3 linked regions of the Ovis aries genome follow. The protein of the gene in region 2 purifies or fractionates together with the protein of the main gene of each other region. This does not show direct contact. Links are inferred from orthologs where the notes say so. Each region holds a gene or a part of one and is shown on either strand. Other genes may lie near its edges.

Region 1 (4,335 bases), on a different chromosome or scaffold from region 2:
AAAAGCACACATTTCGTGTACAGTTAGAAAAGGTGCAGAAAAAGGCTTTCTCATTCTAAAACTCAGGATTATAAGCAATGGAGCAAAGCCTTCAAAAGAGGTAAACATTTACTCAATGGCATAATTAACTTCTAAAACTGCACTTCTAATTTTGTTATATCATTCAGGTTCCATATTTGGACCTACACTCAGGACCTGTACTTCTATAATCATGTGGCTATTTTAAGTCTGTAGACCAAGACAACATTCATGTTCGTCCAATTCATAAGACACCACCAGTGAACACAGCATGTGTTCACGAAACTCAGTGAAAGTAGAATAATGACAGCTTGGGGTTTTTTTTTTTTTCCACCAAGAAAAAGAAACCTGTCCTAGGGTGATAATTATCATTTCTAAACTGTGATTTCTACTTAAGTGAAAAAAAAGCTTATCTTATTGAAGATAGAGAGAAGAAAAAGGGACAGACAAAAAAAGGTGATGATATTAACAAACTTCTACTGATGACCTTTTAATGGCCAGCATGGAAAGGGAGAGAATGACTTCTTTGTAGCACGATATGACTCCAGGGGACCCCTCCATCCCTCAGTTCCTTTCTCTACCTATCACTTGAGTCTCTACCTATCACTTGAGCCATGGGCGGTGGAGTCAAGGGGACCTGGGTTTGAATCCTGGCTTTAATACACACTAGCCAGGAAATCCTGGGCAGGTCACTTGCTATCTCCCAAACTCATTTTTCTTCATCTGTGAAATGGACATAGAACTGACATCGCAAGGCCAGTGGTGGGAGGATTAAATGAGAAAGCACATGAACACATGTGGTTCAAAGCCTACCCCCAAAGAGATACTCAATAAATGAGTTCCCTTTCTCCCTCTGACCCAGCCCCAGAAATACACTCCAGGGAGTACCCTCTGAATTGGGAACACCTTCCTGGCCCTGGAGCTTTAAAGTAATTGTACAGTAGGGATGTCAGTTCCCTACTTAAGGTCAGTGCTCTAGACTGTGATTCATCCAGTTTTTAATTGCTCTCATCACCCAACCCAGCACTACCAGGTACTCTGACAAGGTCACCACACCCTCTACAGTGTTCAGGGACAGGTTCCAATTCCAGCCTCAACCAGCAGACTAAACCTCATTAGGCAGAACCTGTTTCGGCATAGGATTAGTTAACTAGATGGAATTACTGATCCTCTCCCTCCTAGCAGGAGATTTATTTTTCCAAGATGATCCCCTCCTTTAACTGTGATAAGCAGATGAATTAACCTTGGAAGGTCTCCAAATACTTTGAGGTAGAAGCAGCCACTTACACCTACTCCCTCACGTGGCAAAAATATCCTCCTGAATGATACTCTCTCCTTTTTTTTTTTTAATAGATACTTGAAACACCCAGGGTCTATTGGATACTAAAAGGCTAGATTTAGAAACTGATTAAAGAAAGAGGGCAGAACTAGGATAATTTAGGTAATTTCGGCAAGGAGTTGAATTAGATAAAAGTAGGTTAGCACTGCCTTCTGGTTCCAAAGCCCCAGTATGAGAACAGATGGCTTTATAATAAAAGATTCTAAACTACAATGTATTAAAGAAAGTGAAGTTGCTTAGTCGTGTCCAGCTCTTTGCGACCCCATGGACTATAATCTATCAGGCTCCTCTAACCACGGGATTTTCCAGGCAAGAATACTGGAGTGGGTTGTCATTTCCTTCTCCAGGGGATCTTCCCAACCCAGGGATCGAACTCAGGTCTCCTGCATTGCAGGGAGGAGATAAATATGCTTTACCATCTGAGCTACCAGGGAAGCCCACAGTGTATTAAAGGGCCTACCATATTCCCAGCAGTGGAGCAATACCAGGTTGGGACCAGAAACATAAATAAATCTGACACTTCTCTGGTCCACAAATCTGGGGGGAGAAGGGTAGAAGAGGAAGGGAAGACACACAGACAATATAAGAAGCACGAATAAAACTTAATTGAGCACATACTAAGGGACAGGGGCTATCCTAAGCAATGTATGCAAATAAGCTCACTGGAGCCTCAGAAACCCCTTAAGGATCTTATAAATGTAGATGAGAAAACGGGGATTCAGACCAGCAATCTTCCCAGGGTCATCCAAGCAGTCGTGGTGCCGGGATGGGAGGGAGGCTGGGCAGTCCGACTCGAGGATTAGAAATGAGAAAAGGTGCTAAAGGTTGCACGGAGGACTAGGAGCGCCGGGGGTCGACCGCGACTTAGGGGAAAGAGGCACTCAAGCGGGGAGATTCTTAAAGAACTCGGGGGAGGCTTCTTCGCCGGTTCGGAAAGGTTCCCCCTATAGCTGAAGGATGCAGGGCTGCCCTAGACAGGAACAGACACTCCAGGGGCGCTTACTGCGCTCAGGGACCCTATTCTAGACGCTGAAGCTAAAGGAATGAACCGTGCCTCGCGACGCGCGATAGGGTGGGGGTGGTGATCCCATTCACTACAATTTTAGCGCCTGTGATAAACGCCCACAATGGAAGCGCAGGAGAAGCGATCTTTCATTCTGGCATTGGAGGAGCATCGGAACTTGGAAATCGCTGAGAGATGGATCTGGGCGTGCGGGGACCCCAGGGCTCGGCAGGCCCCTCAGAGAACACCGCCTCCCCGCCCCCTCCCCCGGCCCGCCCCTCCCCTCCGCCTCCGGGCCCCGCGGCCTAAGCCCCCGCCTTGCTGCCCCCGCAGGTACAGATCGGGAGCGAGGCCCGGGCCAGGGGAGGCCAGCAGGGCCCGAACCTCGCCCCCGCTGCCCCTTACCTGGGATCGGGGCCGTCCGGACGGGCTCGGAGCGTTGAATTCGCGGACTCTGGTCAGTCGACGCGAACAGGCTCCGGCGGGCGCGGGCGGAGGACCGAGGCCCAGAGGGAGCGGCTGACAGTTCCCGGAAGTGGCCACGGCGCCTGCGCGGCGCGGCGGCGCGGGCTGTCGGCGCACGCGCGCCCCGGGGCGCGCGCGCTGCGGGGAAGGGTCGGGCGGCTTCTAAGGAGTTTGCGTCCAGAGACCGCTGGGAGCTGGTGGCGGGGCAGCGTAGACCTCTTGGTGCTTTCCTCGCAAAATGTCCTGAGACTCGAGGACCGAAGCGCGGAGCCTTGGCGCTTTCTCAAGTGCTTTGGTCACGGAATGAATTCCTGAGAATTGGGACCTTTTGAGCCAAACGAACGGACAAATCCCTACTTTTTTTTCCTCCCTCTGTGAGGAGGCCTCTTCAGAGCCCGCCCTCCCTCTGTGGAGGTCTCTCCAAGGAACGTTCTCTACCCTTCTTGGGTCAGAATCGTTCCCTGCTCCCGAGCTGGCGCCACAGGACCCAGGAGTTGGGGGAGTTCAGCCGTCCCCCAAACTCAGGAAGACAGTGACCTGAACCCCTCTTTCCACCAGACTGGCTGCCCTTGAAGTCAGAAATTATGGACCAGCTCTCCTGTCCCTGGGGTGATTGACCCGGAAACTTGTCAGGTGATGTTCACCACAGTGAACTTGTCAGATTCCCGACTTAACAGCCACACGTACTGTCTTCTCTGGGGCTGTTTATTCAGCGCTAATGCCCTGGAATAAATAGTTATCTTTGGTCCTAGGGCGTTCTAGGGCACATTGAGAGTGGAAAGATCATTTTCAGTTAATTATTCTCTCCTGGAGACAGCATCCTGGCAGGGGAAGGACCGCACGTGGAAGCGAGGATTCCTCTTATGTCTCCAAGTCAGATGAACGAATCCGGATGTAGAGTTGTTACCCAGGGTCAAAATGCCATCAGTGTTTTAGTTAGATCCCACCTCTTTACAAAGGACAGTTCCTTCTTTGAAGGGGTTTATAGGCTGGGTAAATGAGAGGGATACATACAAATCAGTAATACCAGACTCTTTATGATAAATGACAAGGTAAGAAATAATTTAGCCCCAGAAGAGTAACAATGAGACATTTTAATGTTAATCACTGATTCTATCTTTTGAGTTAATATTTTGCATTTCAGCCTAAACAAAGCTTACCATTTGATGCATTTTCTTTCATATTTTATGAGCCATTCTGGATGGTAGACTCTTAGTTCTTCAGGGGCTCTTAAGTGAAACCATCATGTTCTATAACTGAGGAAACAGGGCCAGAGGTTTTTGAGACTCCGGGAAGATTTTGATGGAAATCAGTGGCAATGCTGACATAATTCCTAGTCCAGAACATCGCCCCCTAATCGCATCATGGTCTGGTGTAAGAACCTTGGAATGGCTCAGATGGTAAAGTGTCTGTCTACAATGCAGGAGACAAGGGTTCAATTCCTGGGTTGGGAAGATCCCCTGGAGAAGGAAATGGCAATCCACTCCAGTACTATTGCCTGGAAAATCCC
Region 2 (3,646 bases):
TAAATTCTAATATTTAATTCTGTTAAATATTATTGAAAACTCAGAAATGTGGGGGAATGAAAATAATTATAATTCCATACCTGTAGATAATCATTACTTTTTGTTGTTGCTGTATGCTTATAGAGTTTTTCTATGAGTTTTTCTTTTCATTAAAATAGATAAACTGCTTTTCATCTGTATAGCAGCATACATGAACAGCTTTACTTGGTAATAAGTTTATTTCTATAATATCTTTTTTAACATCTGTATTTTGATAATCCTGCAGTTTAGTTATATATAAACTTTCATCATATATTTATTGACTTTTTTCCTGTCATAAATAGTATTGAAATGAACAATTCTTGGTAAAGTCTGAATTGTTTCCTTTGAATAAATTTCTGGAAGTGAATGGCTGGATTTTAGACTGCACATTTTTTTAAGGCTACATATGGTATTGCCATACTACCCTTCAGAAAAGTTGTAAAATTACATTGCCTCTTAACCATCTTTCAGTAATTCTTAAGAACCTATTTACTTAATTGTTTAAAGCCCAGATTAAATTTTTTTTCTTTTTTTTTTCAGATTAAATTTTAATGTTTAGTTCTGTTAAGTATTGTAGAAAACTCAGCAATATGGGGGAATAAAAATGTAATCGTCCATAATCCCACACCCAGAGCATTGATCCCCCCACTGTCCATAGCCATTCACACATCCTAGGAGCCCCAAGTATCTCCTTAGTTAAATACTAGTAAATAATAACTTAGGTAAATGCATTATTATCTAGGCAACATAATCTTTTATAAGAGGAAATGCTTCTTTGGTTTTTAAAAGTGAGTAACGTCATTGAAATTTCGTTTTACCACCTTCTGCTTTTTTGTGGGTGTTTTTTTTTAATCAGAGCGTGTGGGTGGGAGGTTATAGCTCTCCATACAAGGATATTTTTCTAAACGGATAATTGCATAGTCTTTAAACTGAAGACAGCAAAAGGTGGTAGAAGCATACTGTAAGATCATGACCGGCAGGAATGCAGAAGGTATCACTTTGTGTTGAATAGAAAGAGAAACATTGTTGAAAGGGGAAATTAAGTGTTCTGTGTACTTGGCTTGCTAGGTGAAAAGCAACTGCTGTTGGAGCAGTCATTCATCAAAGAAAAAGATCATTATAAATGAAGACCACTCTAATACCTATAGTCACTTGACTATAGATGTGAAATGAAAAATAAGTTTTAGAAACTTAAATTTTTATTTATTAATAACATTTCTGAAGGATGCATCAGGGTAGAACTATAATTCAGTTTCCTTCTTTTGGTCTATTTTTTTTAAATCAAGAAGTGAAATGTATTGATTTAATACATTGATAATTTGTTACATCTATCTGTAAGTAAACCCTTTCAGCTCTACCTTCAAATATGTCGAGACTCTGTCTGCTTCTGGCTGCCTCTGCTGCTGCCATGCCAGCCAAAGCCAGCCTGTCTTGGTGCAGGAACTTCCAAGCTGGCTTCCAGGCTTCTGTCTCCTGCTCCCCCGACCCTCCTGCTGCCCCGGGCTTATTTTCAATATGACAGCCAGCTGGTCCTGTTAAAATGTAAGTCAGATGACATCACTCTTTTTAGAAAGAAAGAAAGCGAAAGTGAAGTCGCTCAGTACCATAGCCTACCAGGCTCCTCCCTCCATGGGATATGTAAGTCAGATGACATCACTCTTTTTAGAAAGAAAGAAAGCAAAAGTGAAGTCGCTCAGTACCATAGCCTACCAGGCTCCTCCCTCCATGGGATTCTCCAGGCAAGAGTACTGGAGTGGGTTGCCATTTCCTTCTCCAGGGGATCTTCCTGACCCAGGGATCGAACCCAGGTCTCCCGCATTCCAGGAAGACACTTTAACCTCTGAGCCACCAGGGAAGTCCAACAGCTTCTCATTTCTGTGACTGGAGGCCAGAGTTCTCATAAGGGCCTGCAGGGTTTACGCGTTCTGTCTTCCTACTGCCTCTCTGACTTCCTGCCCTGCACTCCACTCCAGCCCCCTTCATCTTCTTGCTGTCCCTTGAGCACACTGAACACACGCTAGCAGCAGTTACTCTTCTCTCTCTGAAATGTTTGCCTCAGATACACCCAAGGTGTCCTCTTCCTTTCTTCAGGTCTCTACCCGAATGTCACACTCGCAGTGCAGCCTTTCTAAAAACTGGAACTACCCAACACAAAAATGAGACTGAACGATCTGTTGTTTATTTACCTTCAGGATCGCGCAGGCAGCATTGTCTTGAAGGTGCTCATCTCTTTTAAAGCTAACGATATTGAAAAAGCAGTTCAATCCCTGGACAAGAATGGTGTGGATCTCCTAATGAAGTATATTTATAAAGGCTTTGAGAGCCCCTCTGACAATAGCAGTGCTGTGTTATTGCAGTGGCATGAAAAGGTAAGTCATGAATTATACAATCTGTATGACTGGTTCCTTTGTAATGGAAAAAACATTGACAACCTCTAGCCTAAATACCTGTTTTGACTCTTTGGTTATACATTGGTGGTTACTACAAATAAATGCATGAAAATGAAAGTTTAGATTTATGCTTGCTAGCCTTGGTCTTGAGATGCTGATTTGAATTCTTTAACAATTGCCAAAAGCTGGAAAACCCACGCATCCATGAACAGATGAACGTGCATGCATGCGTGTGCAGTCGCTCTGCTCATTCATGTCCAACTGCGCAGCCCCATGAACCATAGCCCACCAGGCTCGTCTCCATCAGATCTTTCAGGCAAGAATACTGGAGTGGGTTGCCATTTTCTCCTCCAGGGTATTAGCCCACATCTCCTGCATTGCAAGTGGATTCTTTACCATTGAGCCATCAGGGATGCCCAAACAGATGAACAGAATCTGACACAGACATACAAGGGAATATTACTTGACCAGAAAATGTTTATCTACATGGTACAGCATGAATGAACCTTGAAAACATTATGCAAAGTGAAATAAACCAGATACAAAAAGACACAAAATACTGTATTCCACAAAATACTGTGATGGCTCAGATGGTAAAAGCGTCTGCCTACAATGCAGGAAGCCTGGGTTCGATCCCTGGGTTGGGAAGATCCCTTGGAGAAGGAAATGGCAACCCACTCCAGTATTCTTGCCTGGAAAATTCCATGGACAGAGGAGCCTGGTAGGCTACAGTCCATGGGGTCGCAAAGAGTCGGACATGACTGAGCGACTTCACTTCACTTCACTTCCGCTTGCATGAAATATCTAGAATAGGCAGGTTCATAGAGACAGAAAATGGATTAGAAATTACCAGTGCCTGTGGAGAAGGGAGACTGGAGAGTTATTGCTTAATGGGTACAGAGTTTCTGTTTGGAGAGATGGGAAAGTATTGTAAATAGATAGTGGTGATGGCTATACAATATTTGAACGTAATTAATGCCACTGAATTTTATATTTAAAGATGGCTAATGTGGCAAATTTTATGTTACATATTTTATCACAGTTCTAAAAAATGAAATCAGGAGTAGGATCAAGAATTCTTAATTTCTTTTTTCTGTTTTCATGCATTTTGCTTTGCAGTATTAGCAGATGCTGGTACACTATCCATCCCCCCAGCCCCTCCTCTCCCAAAAAAAAGGCTATGGAGGATTTTTAGCTTTAGGTGAAAAATTGGTAAGGTAATTTTTAATACCCAG
Region 3 (4,186 bases), on a different chromosome or scaffold from region 2:
TGTAGCCCACCAGGCTCCTCCGCCCATGGGATCCTCCAGGCAAGAATACTGGAGTGGGTTGCCATTTCCTTCTCCAGTATAGGAAAAAAAAAAAAAAAACAAAACACCCTCAAACAAAAAAGGAATCATCATGGGTTGTCTAACATGATCAAGTAATCTACCACTACTTCTCATACGGAAAAGCAGTTTAAAAATGCTTTTAATACCAGTTAAACTGCCTGGAACTACATCTCCAGAAGAGTCCTAAAAAGTAAGGTCAGGAATATATGATAGGGAGGGAGGAGGAAGCAAGTGGAATCTTCTCGACCTTCATAACATAGTTGGTAAGTGGTGTGAACTTTGGTCCGGGTTCCAGGAAGATCTTTTGGACATCACTTCACCTTTGATACTTGAGAATATGTTCCATAATGATCCTGGTGTAGTGTTAACCTGATCGAAGGTCAATCACCCCTTAAAGCTGTCCGTGCATTTGTTGCACAGGTTTTTCTTCTATAGAGGAAAGCATGCAGTGTTCTGACAGGTGTAAGAATTCTAACGTCAAGGTTTTTTTTTCTTTATTCAGAAAACATTTGGGTGTTTCCCGGAGAAGGCGATGGCACCCCACTCCAGTACTCTTGCCTGGAAAATCCCATGGACGGAGGAGCCATGGGGTCGCTAAGAGTCGGACACGACTGAGCGACTTCACTTTCACTTTTCACTTTCATGCATTGGAGAAGGAAATGGCAACCCACTCCAGTGTTCTTGCCTGGAGAATCCCAGGGACGGGGGAGCCTGGTGAGCTGCCGTCTATGGGGTCGCACAGAGTCGGACACGACTGACGCGACTTAGCAGCAGCAGCAGCATGAATGCACCAAGTACTCTGCTGCGCATCCTTGTCATCAGTGGGAAGACATTCAGGAGCCGTATCTAGCGGAGCCTATAGCCTGCTATAGGAGTACAAATAAATATATACACACGGTATAAATTTGCTCCAAATGTTGTGAAGCAAAGCAATAGATTGTTGAGATAGTGAGTAAGGTGCAGGGGGGTGAGGGGGCACCTAGCAGATGAGCAGGGACAGCTTCCTTGAGAAGGTGACATCTGAGAGGAGACTTAAAAGGATGAGGAGTCAGGCTTCGGGGTCAAGTCCACGGTAAGTCAGAAGAGCTCAAAGCCTCTCCCGCAGCGAGGTGGGACGTACAGGGAACGAGGCCCCGCTGCCAGCACTAAAGATGGCGGGCGGCCGGGGGCGGGGACAGGGCGTGTCATCGTAGTGATTGGCCAGGCGGGGGTGGGCGGGGCGTCACGTGTGCCGGCGGCGAGCATCCGGGCTCCCGGCGGCGGCGCTGCGGAGGCTCCCGGGAGCCCGGCGGTGGCGCGGGGCGGCGAGCGGGCCGGCGATCCGGGGAGCCTCCGGAGCCGGCCGCGTGGGCCGAGCATGGCGGGCTCCCTGCCTCCCTGCGTGGTGGACTGCGGCACCGGGTAAGAGCCGCGGGCGCCCGCTCCGGCCCCGGCGCGCCTGCCCCTGCCTGCCCCGCGGCCCGGCCCCCTGGTCTCACCTGGGGTGCCCCGGGCCCGGGTCGCGGCCCTCACCTGTCCAGGGGCCCCCTGACTCACTCACCTTGCTGGGGAGGGAGCCGAGGGGAGACGTGGCCTCCCCGCCTCCTCCTTGCGCTCGGCCGGGGCTCCCCGGGACCCGTACGCCTCCCGGGGGTGCGGGCTGCGCACCCCGCTGCCGTTCCCTCGCCTTCCGCCTGCCTCACGGCGCCCCTGCCTTCTCTTCAAAAGTGGCCCTCGTCCTGGGTCCCTAAGCGCATGCCATTTCTCCTCCCTGATAGGGCTTCTTTATCACTTACTTGTGGGAGGTTTTTACAACCGTCTCCCAAGTTGACATCTTTAAAAAAAAGTGTGTGTGTGTGTGTGTGTGTGTGTGTGCGTGCGTGTGTGTGTTTGCAGCCTACTCTGTCCTCTTCCAGTATTGAATGGTTCAGTCAGGCTAAGGTCTTGCTTTAGTTTGCCTAGAGTTGCCTTTGCACTTAAAAATGTTAAAAAAGGCTCCATTTTGAAAAACAGAAAAACCAAAATGTGGGAAAGGCTGTTGGTGGTAGTATAGTTTCTATGTCTGCCCCCCGCCCCCAGCCCGTTACTTGTGGGCCGTGATTGCTTCTTTTGATGTTGGGATATGCCAAAGAGACCCTTCGGAAATCTCCCGGTCCTTTCCAGTGGCCCAGGCTCCGATCATTTTTAGGAAGGTGCTCGCTGAATCCATTTAGGTTTTGGTTTAGAAAGTCAAGCTTGCCTGCTTGCACTGTAGGTGAAGTGCTTAATAAAATAGCCCAGAAGTAAGTTTAGCCTCTTAGAAAGATTTTTCAAGAGGGGATTTTAGTCATTTTTTGCCACAGAATATTCCATGGCACGTTCACGGTAGCCTTGATTCTTCTCTGTAGAGAAACGCACTTGGTTCAGTTTCCTTGACAACCTTGTGGGGGTGTCTTCCTTAATTTGCTACAGTCCATCTCCTACGGATTGTTCTTTCCTTTTGCTGCAGAAAAAGGAGTGGTTACAATCTGGAAAAAACTGCTTCTTTGCATATATTAATTTTCCTTTCAGAGATACACGTTGTACCAGAAGTTTTGGGGCTCTTTATTTCAGTAGTTGTTTTGCTACCCAGAACCTGAGCCAAAAGCAGTGTTGATAGGAACACCCCCACCCCCAAATACTGGCTTCCTTATGCATCTCCTCCCACCATCTGGTATTCACCCCACACCCACCTGAGGTCTGGTTGTGTCAGGAGAGAAGGCAGCTGGTCAAAGAATCTTTCATCCCCACATTTGCACGTGAGGTTTTTGTGGTTTTGGTCTTATAAAACTGTTGAAATACAAAGTATTTCTTGGTAGAAGCAACAAAATGTGCCCACAGGGTTTGTCATACCTTTAATATTAGTAAGCTGGGAGCCTTACTCATCATTCTTGCTATAAATACCAAAGTGTGGTGCTCAGTTATGACCGTCTGAGGTAGGTGGTATCTCACGTGGCGGTATAACTTCAGGATATCTTTGTCTTCTGGCCCCAAGTTATGTATCGTCTTCAGGCTGTTGTAGGCGTTGTGTCAGGACTAGAAATAGTGGCCAGGGATCCTGCCAGTGGGTTTCACATGGACATAGTCTTTTGTGGGAACGGTGATGGTCAGTCAGGAATTTCCAGTGTCCAGTGTGTGGCCAGGAGGAGGAGCCTGGAAGAGCCCAAGTTTATTTAAGCATATTACTGCTTCTTATATGTCCTGCAGAGCCAAGTGACTTTGGATTGACCTTTAACTCAAAATGGGATAAAAAGGGATAAAATGCAGATAAATATAACTAGGACCGAAGAAAGGAACAGGCCTGGAAAATCACCTTAAACTGTAGGCCCACAGTGCAGCTGGTTGGTCTCAAGCTTGGCCTTCCTGTATGACAAGATTATGAGAGAGTCATCGTCAGTTATGTAATTCCTGTCATCAGGGAAGAAGAGAAATACCTGTTTCTCAGGCGAAAGAGCTTTCTCTAGTACTAAATTCTAAAAGAAAGATTCACACTGATAGTGGACATTTATGATTGAGTAGACAGTATACTCAATGGTGCTTTTTAAAAATAGCAAATAAATTTCATCCTGGGAGCCTGGCCTCATCTAGTAAACCCTGAGACCAGCTTGGTGAGCACACGTGTTCTTGGGGGTGGGATGACATGGACCACAGCTCTGCCTGCTCCACAGATGAAGCTTCGTCCACTTAAGTGAGTTACTGGGCTCCAGAGTGTTCAGAGAATAGCCTCACTTTTCTTAACTGAACTTGTAGTTCTGAAGATTTTTGTATTCTTTAAACTTATTTTGAGAAAGTTCAAATCTACTGAAAAGCTGCAAGAAGAGTACCAAGAAAATGCTATATAGTCTCCATCCAGCATTCTAACTACTAACATTTGCTTTATTGTTCTCTGTATACTTTATGCGTTATTATCTTTCTGAACTGTTTGTGAGTTGCAGCCATCCTGCTGTTTACACCAGGGTACTTCAGTATATCCTTTATGAGAACATGCGTTCACAGACCAGTGATCAGAACCAGAAACTAACGTTTATGCTGCTCTGTGTTACCTGCTCTGCAGTCTGGATGCCGTGAATGGTCTCTCTGTGTCTCTGGACGCTCAGCTCTCCGCCCTCATCCAGCACCGTACACTGTG

Evidence for each region.
Region 1: the proteins of ARPC5 (region 2) and ARPC1A fractionate together in Homo sapiens (co-fractionation; 8 studies listed by BioGRID and IntAct, counting the BioPlex papers as one, with this or other methods). This does not show direct contact. The link is inferred for Ovis aries from reciprocal best matches to the Homo sapiens genes ARPC5 and ARPC1A.
Region 3: the proteins of ARPC5 (region 2) and ACTR3B purify together in Homo sapiens (affinity purification with mass spectrometry; 5 studies listed by BioGRID and IntAct, counting the BioPlex papers as one, with this or other methods). This does not show direct contact. The link is inferred for Ovis aries from reciprocal best matches to the Homo sapiens genes ARPC5 and ACTR3B.

The regions. Positions count from the first base shown.
Region 1 is NC_056077.1:37,483,506-37,487,840, forward strand, and holds the start of ARPC1A (actin-related protein 2/3 complex subunit 1A), read right to left. Parts: upstream 2,892-4,335; 5' UTR 2,766-2,891; intron 1-2,765. UniProt on the Homo sapiens protein: Probably functions as a component of the Arp2/3 complex which is involved in regulation of actin polymerization and together with an activating nucleation-promoting factor (NPF) mediates the formation of branched actin networks.
Region 2 is NC_056065.1:64,118,440-64,122,085, reverse strand, and holds part of ARPC5 (actin-related protein 2/3 complex subunit 5), read left to right. Parts: intron 1-2,213; coding exon 2,214-2,390; intron 2,391-3,646. UniProt on the Homo sapiens protein: Component of the Arp2/3 complex, a multiprotein complex that mediates actin polymerization upon stimulation by nucleation-promoting factor (NPF).
Region 3 is NC_056057.1:116,721,530-116,725,715, forward strand, and holds the start of ACTR3B (actin-related protein 3B), read left to right. Parts: upstream 1-1,329; 5' UTR 1,330-1,417; coding exon 1,418-1,461; intron 1,462-4,186. UniProt on the Homo sapiens protein: Plays a role in the organization of the actin cytoskeleton.